2 linked regions of the Oryzias latipes genome follow. The protein of the gene in region 2 purifies or fractionates together with the protein of the main gene of each other region. This does not show direct contact. Links are inferred from orthologs where the notes say so. Each region holds a gene or a part of one and is shown on either strand. Other genes may lie near its edges. The genes, in order: cop1 and mvp.

Evidence for each region.
Region 1: the proteins of mvp (region 2) and cop1 purify together in Homo sapiens (affinity purification with mass spectrometry; 3 studies listed by BioGRID and IntAct, with this or other methods). This does not show direct contact. The link is inferred for Oryzias latipes from reciprocal best matches to the Homo sapiens genes MVP and COP1.

What each region holds. Positions count from the first base shown.
Region 1 is NC_019875.2:19,758,489-19,763,039, forward strand, and holds the start of cop1 (E3 ubiquitin-protein ligase RFWD2), read right to left. Parts: upstream 2,944-4,551; 5' UTR 2,590-2,943; coding exon 2,258-2,589; intron 2,139-2,257; coding exon 2,079-2,138; intron 1,790-2,078; coding exon 1,692-1,789; intron 278-1,691; coding exon 213-277; intron 109-212; coding exon 1-108. UniProt on the Homo sapiens protein: E3 ubiquitin-protein ligase that mediates ubiquitination and subsequent proteasomal degradation of target proteins.
Region 2 is NC_019866.2:564,025-568,398, reverse strand, and holds the start of mvp (major vault protein), read right to left. Parts: upstream 2,851-4,374; coding exon 2,662-2,850; intron 1,426-2,661; coding exon 1,262-1,425; intron 1,188-1,261; coding exon 992-1,187; intron 924-991; coding exon 800-923; intron 303-799; coding exon 171-302; intron 1-170. UniProt on the Homo sapiens protein: Required for normal vault structure. Vaults are multi-subunit structures that may act as scaffolds for proteins involved in signal transduction. Vaults may also play a role in nucleo-cytoplasmic transport.

The sequences.
Region 1 (4,551 bases), on a different chromosome or scaffold from region 2:
CTTTTTCTTCTGAACCAAAAGCTCCAACATCAGATTGACATTTGCCAGATCCAGGTTTTCCTGATCAGGACTCAAAACATCCTGGAAGACCTGCCACCGAGAACCGTTCTACCATGTGGACGACAACGCAGAAACACAGAGAAGTCACTGGCAGGTTGGAAAATACCAGAAAAACAAAAACAGAAATAAAGGCATTTATGAAATGTACTTACAGGATGGTCTAATTTTAGCCTCTTCTCCTCTGATCTTTGCTTGTGTTTAAGGATCAGCTCGTTTACTAGAGTAAAGGGTTGGGATAGGTAAGAACACAGCAAACACAGCAAAGTGTGTCAAGGATGTTCAAAGTGAACACTGTGAACTTCACCTATGAATCGGACATCATTTGATCTAATTAGATAACAACCAGGGATGTCACAATTCTCGATCAAAAACTATGTTACACCATTAAACCAAAGGAACGAGAATCGTTGCATCTCTACTGTAAACCAGTATGTTAAAGTTCAAAGTTGGGCTTAAATTTAAAGTCCCACTCCAGTGAAAATCATGCTTTTGGTGTTCATTTTCCTCATGAATGGAGGATATTCCTAACTAAAAATGAAGCATTTCCCAATATGTCTTTATTCTTTAAATCGTTGAGATTTAGGAGCAGAAAAAAACGTTCCCATTTGAAAAAGCTTGTAGTTATAATGTCAAAATCTTCAATCGATGGGCCCAAAGCTCCTTACTCTGCTCCTTTCTGATGAACGAACTGGTAAATGACTAAATCCATGTACAGATGTGTCTTTGCCTCTTCTGAGCTGGCATCTGGCTCAAAACTGTACGCTAGCTTACTGCTGTGAGCTAGCGGGAGAATTTGTAAAGAAAAGCCTGAAGGGAAGTGTTGCAGCTTACACCAGGCCAACGGTCCCGCCCACAACTAGGAGGCAGATTTCTGATGAACTACTGCAGTTCTGCAGAAACTATGTCCTAGAAAACGACAGTTTTTTGTGTGGCTAAAACGGCATAATCGTAATTAAAAGACGATTTTACACGGCATCAAAAGATGATTGAAGTGGGACTTTTGCATAATCATGGGGAGAGAGAATCATTGTATCCCTACTGTATACCAGTTTATTTATGTGATAAATTTAAGAAGAATTTTGAATGTAATGTTTTCTTAGATTAGCCTGGAGTTAGTTTGAGTTTGATAATTTTTTTTAGCAAATTAAAAAGACAGCTTTTTTTAGTATTATTAGTTTTTTGTTGTCAGTTTGTAATACACAAATTATACATTGAACCGAAACAAAACTGTGATCCAAAATTGCAGTTTGAGCCCAATCATTGGTTAAGTGAATCAACGCATTCCTAATAACCACCAATAATTGAGAGATCCATTAATCCACCCATCCTTTTTTTTAACCCACTGTATCCCTTTCGGGGTCACGGGGTGGCTGGAGCATGTCCTGGCTACTGTTGGGCCAAGTTTGCCATACAATCAGCCCAACACACATGCACACCAATGGACAATTAAGAGAGTAACCAATGTAGCCTAAAACCTATGACGCATGTTTATGGACTGTGGGAGGAAGCCGGAGAAAACCCACACGTGCACGGGGAGAACATGCAAACTCAACACAAAAAAGTTTCGAAAAACAAGTCTTCAAACAGACTTCAACAGGTGGTGAAGCGCAACACCAACTCACAATACCCACCTAAAAAGTTTGGGAACAGCTGATCCACATTATCAACAATATAGTTACACTTGGGACATCTGTTGCTGTCTTCCAAGCTCTGGCGGATACACTTGTAACTGCAAGAGGGGTAAAAAGCAAAAGAGGAATACTTGAAAACATTCCCCAACTGTGCAACAAACTTCAAGCAATAAAACTATCAAAGTAGTATTTTGGTTGCAGCTGACAAATTTAAATTTGTAGTGCTGTAAATATGTGAGGGGGAGTTGATTAATTTTTTTGTCTTCCAAAACATAAAACTAGAATGTTTAACATTTTGAAAATATTTCCTTTTTACACAGCTATCTTGATCAGCAAGTTCAACACACTGACTGACAAACTGTCCATTCATGTACAATGAACCCTTACCAGAAACTGTGTCCACACTTGGTCATGTGCGCCTCCTCTATCATTTCGAAGCAAATGGGACTGAAATTGTTTTGACAGAAAAACCATGTAAAACATTTGGACATCAACATTTCAAAATCCACCGTTTGGAGTGGGAATCTTAAAGCACAGTTTGAAATAATTCCTGGAAAAAAACTAACCAGACAAAATCGTTGCTTTTATCTTCATAAGAATTCAAGAGGCCGTTGTATAAGGGTGCCTGGTGAAGGGATTTCCTTCTGTTGCCTGAGGACGCAGAGGGTCTGTTGAGGGAAGCAAAGCCGCCCCGGGACGACGGTACAGTGGCCAGAGAGGGCACAGACGAGCCCCCCTCTCCGGCTGCGGGCAGAGTCCGGGAGGGCACAACATTTCCAGAATTGTTCCCATTGCTTGTTACGGCGTTGCTCGCATTGCCGCTGCTGCTATTGCTGGTGCTGGGTACTGAACTCGCGCCACCACCGCCGCCTTGTTGTTGCGTCCGACTGCTTGACATGATGCAACAAAAAACTCATCCAAAAACTCGCTGCACTTCAAAGCATCCAGAGCGCTGCTTATTCGCTCCTTCAGATTTGCAAGCTAGCTGGCTTGCTTATCATGCGCTAGCATCCTCGGTGGAAGGAACAGCGTCAAAAACATATAGTGTGATTAAACTTGTCCGTCGGTGGGTACCTAGCACTTATCACCGGCAACGTTTTATAAAGTCGCTTGATTATAAGGTGTGAAAAAAAAGAGGCAATAAAGAAAACTGGGATTAAAATAACTTCAAACTGCGTTGTCCAGGAGATTAGCCGGTTGGCGACTGTTAGCAGCAGAGAGTGATCCGCTGGGCTTCTTCTACCACCCAGATGCGTATTGTGCTCTGGTGTTTCGCACCTTCACTGCCCCCTAGCGGAGGGGCGGTTCATAGACATATATTACATCTGTTAAAAACCTTAAAACGCACATATTATTAATAATAATATTGTGTTAACCAAGAGTCAAAAACAATAAAAATAATAATAAATAAAAATACCAATTATCAGACTATTAATTTGTGCTTTTATTAGTGGGAATAAATGACAATTTCTAATAATATAGATGATTATTTTCATTAAAAGAATGATACATTGGTGGGAACCCATTTACTAATCAACACATTCAGTTAAAAATATAAAACTAATGAAAAGGGGGAAAAATGATAAAAAAAATCACTCCGAACTGATTTAAGCATTTTTACATTGGGCTTAAAAATGAAGTGGTACCTATTCTTATTTATTAAAGGAAACTCTTTAAATATCAGTGTACTACTACAAATTCCAGGTAAATACTGCCTATGTATTTTGCTTTGACTGTTGTTCAAAAATCTGATTTAAAGGGACCTTAATGTAATTAAATCATGTTTGTTTTCTTTGAAAGCGGGTGTTTTTTGTTTGGATTACATTTTTCATTCATCTCTTACAGATCCAGGGTATCCTTTATTGAATTACCTGCACAGAAACAAGCAGGTAGGTCACTTTAAAAAAAGGTGCTACTGGTGACAGAGCCAAGACATACAGGGTTGTGTCTGTCAACCATCCACCTGCAGCTCTGCAAATAAAACCCAAGCAGCACTAACATATTCCCACTCAAAGTTTATCCAGCCTGCTCCTTGCTTTTCCATCTTTACCTCCATGTGAACAAATAAGGGGGGGGGGGGGGGGGGTCCTCTGCTCAGGCACAGATTTTCCCATGTTTTTGTTTGTGGAAGAGGTCTACATGTATCCATAAGTGGCTCAGTTAGACCATGAAATAAGGTTTTCAGCTAGAGGAAAGTTACCAATTCGTTAAATAAATACATGAATTACACTGAAAAGAACCAGCGATAAAAAATATGTTTTCTGGGCCTCTAATAAATGCTTTTGAAAGTGCAGATCGGAGGCAAAAAACAGATCATTAAAGACGGGCTGCCCATGAAATCCGGGAGTTACTTATGAGGTGAGAGAAACCAAAAGTGTGTGCACCTTAAGTTCTTCACTCGTTGGGCAAAACACCTGCAGCATATATTGTGTTTGCATCCCCCCCAGCACAGCTCCTTCTCCCCTTTGTATCTAATACTGTTTTTTCTGAAAGGCTTGCCCTCTTTCTTTCTCCCTTTTTTTTCTTCTTTTTCTTCCCCCCACCTCGTTTGTGCTGCACATCAGCCTAGATTTTCTCCTTTTGGGTCCCCCCAATTTTTTTTGAACGAGGATTGTGCGTGTTCTGGGTGAATGTGTGTGGCTGTGTCAACGGGGTACAGCTGGATGTTACAGGGGAACAGAGAGGTAAGAGGGGAAACAGGGAGGGGGGTGATGCGTATGAAAGGAGAGGGAAAAACAGGGGGGCAGGCCGAGAGCGGGCCTCAGGGTTGTTGAGGTCAAGACGGACAAACTCAGATGAAGGATAATCTGTGGAGGTCCTTTGCAGTGGGGGGTGAGGCCCCGGAGGAGCCCGCCCATTC
Region 2 (4,374 bases):
CCATAGCCTGACCTCTGGACACAGACTACTCCAGAAGATCAATGGGGGGTTGGATGGGAAAGGGGATTTAGCATGGACCGGTATGGACCGGTAATGTTCTTCATTCCTGCTCCTCAAAACCTCTCGGTTCTGATCTGCTCAGTGTCTGGGTTTTGGTGGGGGGGTGTTACCTGTGACTCTTTGGACGCCGCCCCGGTCTTTGCCCTCTTTGCGGGCTCTCAGTCGGATGGCCTGGTTCTCCCGGATCACGGTGGCCTTGATGGTCTCCAGAACCACCACCTCCTTCCTGGGAATGTAGGTCCCTGAAGCCAACAGAGGAACCGGGAACACGTCAAACGGCGTTCCCGCACAGCCGGACGTTTCCCTCCGCTGCACCTCCACCCAAACCAACCTCTGAAGACTTTGGCGGCCCTTTGGCGCCGGAGTTTCAGCGCCGCTGTTGACCTTCTTTCAACAATTAACGGGAATCCGCAGATTGTGAGGCTAAAGCGGCGTCACGCCGTTACTTTACCGCAGTAATGTGTGACATAACAATAAGACGAGCCGCTTTCTCCACGACACAAAGGCTCACAGACCGTCATGTCAGAGAGCGTGTTTTAGGCGTGGCCGGCGGCAGCTCTGGTGTTAAAGGGTTCAATACAGAGTAGATGTGGGCGGGGTCACAACTCTTCCTTTGACTCCTCAAACTACAGGAGCAAAACCAGCAAAAGTCCTTTTGATACAGAAACCGGACTGTAGAATCCTGGAGCGGTGAAACCTCAGGAATCAAACCCACGCTGCGCACACAGACCAGACGTACCGGGACCCTCAAACAGCCACTCGTCTCCAGCGACCCGTTTCAGTCCCTCGTCGTCCTCAAAGTCCAGCAGAGCCTGCAGACGCAGCGCCGTGTCCGGGTAGACGATCTGCAGCGGCGTCACGGCCTGAAAGCAGAGGGCGGAGGTGAAAGCGGGTCCGGGTCGGTTCTGCTGTTCAGGGGGGGGTTGCTCACCTGCTTGACCTCCTCCCCCGGGTACAGCGGGAAGGGGTCTTGGGTGAGCCGGATCTCCAGGTCCGCGTGCCGTAGCTTGGCCTGTCCGGACTGGTCGAAGAGGACCTGGTTGTCGTCGTCGCGGGCCACGGGGTTGGACACCACGCAGAAGTGGCGGGGCGGAACCATGATCATCCGGACCGGCAGGAAGAGAACTCTGAGCAGAACCACAGCAGACGCTCATGTAACCGTCACACCCACCCAGACGGCCAGCAGGGGGCGCTTACTGACTTCTCATTGTCTTGGCGGATGTAGGTGAGAGGTCCGATCTCCACGCGGGCGATGTTGGTGTTCTGGTCCAGGACGTGGATGTAGTGGTGGGGGGGGATCCGGATGATGGACGGTTCCGTCTGCTTCTCCATCCTGGTTGGTTGGTTGACTTCAGGTGAGAAACGCTGCGGAGAAAAACACCTTACAGCCACTGGAGCAGGTACGGACCAACGTGCCCCACCCCGAAAGAAGAATTTACCCCCCCACCACCACCACCAGTCTCCTGAACCGCAGGCGGCTTTTGAACCTTTGGTCAGCTGCAGGTAAAGGTGAGGCTCTCAGGTGAACGTTCCTGAAAGACTAAATTAACCTGTGGGGGTGGGGAGTCTCAGAGGAACCGCCTACATCCAGGAGGACAGAACTGACCGACCGTATGGAAATGGTCCTTCCTGTTCAAACACACCTGTCTGACACACCTGAGCTGAGCTTTAACCTCAGGAGCAGTTCTCAGAAAGCCAAACCCCAGAACCAGAACTCTGCTTCAGAACCAGCTCTTATGACCAGAACCTTCCGCTGGATCCCGGATCAGGATCAGTCTGGACTTTGGATTCAAACACGGAAACTTTATATAAAATGCAAAAATCCATAGAATTCGCCCCTGTGACGGAGGAGGGGCCAGATCCCAGGAAGGGTCACGTGACCCAATTCTTCGAAAACAGGGTGCAGAAACAGAGCGCGTGCAGACCAGGCGCGTGCGGACCGAGCGCGTGCGGACTGAAATAGTCGTTTCTGCTTTAAGGAGTTTCAGGTAAAGGTTGAACTTCTCCTTCAGTCTTTCCGCTAATGTGGATGAAGGCTGAGGCTCCGCCCCCTATGGTCAGTTCTGATGACCCAGTCAGAAACTGGACCCAAAGTTTGGTTCTGCTCCTCTTTAGTCCGTCTGCGTTCACTGAAGTGAACCGAACCGAGTTCATCTGCAGGAGAACAGAGGCATTTATTCTCCAGAGAACCAGAGTTCCGATTGGTCCAAATGGTTCGGGTGAACGTTCACACCTGCAGAACCAGGTGGACCATCAGCGGAAACAGTCCTGGACCGGATCGGACCTGGACCAGACCGGGCCGAAGCTGCAAGAACTTTTCTCGGACCTTCAAGTGAACTTAGAAGAACTTTTAAGTGGTCCGGTTCTTCCTGCAGGTTCTGCAGAACCGTCAGGATTAAGAGTCAAGATTACAGAGATAGCTGCGGCGCGTGCACGCGCAGCATTTCCTCAAACACCGTGAGCAGGAACTTCCGGTCCTGAACAGACGTGGGAGTAAAGAACGCTGCGCAGCAACGAAGCGGTTTCAGTTCGAACGGAACCGGACCCGCGAACCAAGCAGAACTTTTCCCTAAAAGCTGCGGCTTCGCTGCGACCGCTCACCTGGCTCGGTTCGCGGTTCTGCGGCTGCTGCTGGTTCCGAGGGTCCGCTGTCCGGTCCGGATCGTCGGAGACTGACAGCTGAACAAGCGCAGAGTTTGTCTGGAGCAGTGGGCGTGGCTGCTGCGCAAGAGGAGCAGCTGTGACGTCATTTACAGACAAGCTACCCTGAGTCATCGTGCGCATGCGCATTTACTAAAGTGTATCATCCATGTTTGGATGGAAACTTCAGTTGTTTGGAAAGAAAAAGTTAAAGTTTTCAGGCAAATTTATAACAGAATCTAAACAAAATCAGTCAGTTCAGAAAAAGAAAACATGTTTGACTGAAATGATCATCTTCTCTTCTGGGGTTTGTCCTCCACGTCTTGGGATCCGTCCTGAAGGTGGATCAGGGTGGATCCGGTCCGAGTTTTATTCCTTCGAACCATCGAAGGAATAAAACGTAGGACGCTGCCGTCCTCTGAGCTCCTCACGGATCCCAGGAAATCGGGTCAATTCTGTTCTAAACAGGCGCCGGATCCTCCAGAACCAGGACAGTTCCTGTAAGACAGACCTGCTCAGTTCTGGTCCTCCAGATCTCCAAGCCCCGCTGATGAGCTCGGTCGGATGTCTCCGGGTTCTGATTGAAGGAACACACCTGGTCCAGGTAATCGTGCAGGGAGAGCTGGAAACAGAACCAGGAAGGAGCAGCCCTGCTGACCCACAAAGTTCTCCTCTCAGAGCAGACGGAACGCGCTGGTTCTACTCCACGTCGCAGGAAAACTGGTTCTTCTCAGAGGAACCGCACCAGAACCACGTCACGGCGGGTCTGTCGGCTCTACAGAACAGTTCCAGTAAAGTCGAGGAGAAGCTGGTCTGTTGCATCCAGAACCTCATCCGGTCAGGAAGTTCTGCCTGCATTTGGATCCGGAAACCCGTCAGAGTTTCTGCAGGAAAAGGATCCCAGGTTCTGGATGAACAGGCTGGTTCTTCTGGAGATCGGAGCTTCTTCCTTTACAGTTCCTGAAACAGGAGGCTGCTTCAGAAATAAACGTTCCTTAAAACGTTCTCCTCCTGAAACATCCAGAACATTTCTGCTCCAAAGACGCTGGAAGTATTTTCCTCACTTTAGTTGGTCTTCATCTGACTGATCTAGCAGCTTTTTGTAGCATTCCCATGAATCCTGCTGTTTTTGAAAGCTCTAAAATGAACTTTAGCAGCTTCTCCAGGTTTGTCATCTTTAGATGATTTAGCTTTAAAGAACAGACCTTAATGATCCTTTTTGGAGGATTTTATGTCATCGTTATGGAGTTTATCTTTGAGGCCTGCAGGGTGAAACATCCCAGAAAAGCAACATCAGATTCTAATTCTTTATTTAAATGAGCTTTAATTCATTAAATACATAAAGGAAATCCTCAATAGTTTGGAGGCTTGAACTTCTGATTAGGAATCTCTGTGCGCCCTCTGCTGGACAGCTGTGGAAACAACACTCCTGTGTCCGCCCTTCTCTTGAAAGAAAGACCACCTTTAACATGTAAATGTATATTCAGCTTAAGGTTAACTTGCATTTCTTACATTAAAGAAAACAAAAGAAGAACAGCTGTTCACTGCTTCCTCTTTCAAAAAAAAAGCAGCAGGAAGTGTTGTTTGATCTCAGATTTACAGTTCAGTCAAACTCTTTCTTCCTCCAGTCCGTTAAGAAACGTGATGCGTTCAGGTCTGCTGGGAATTCCTGTT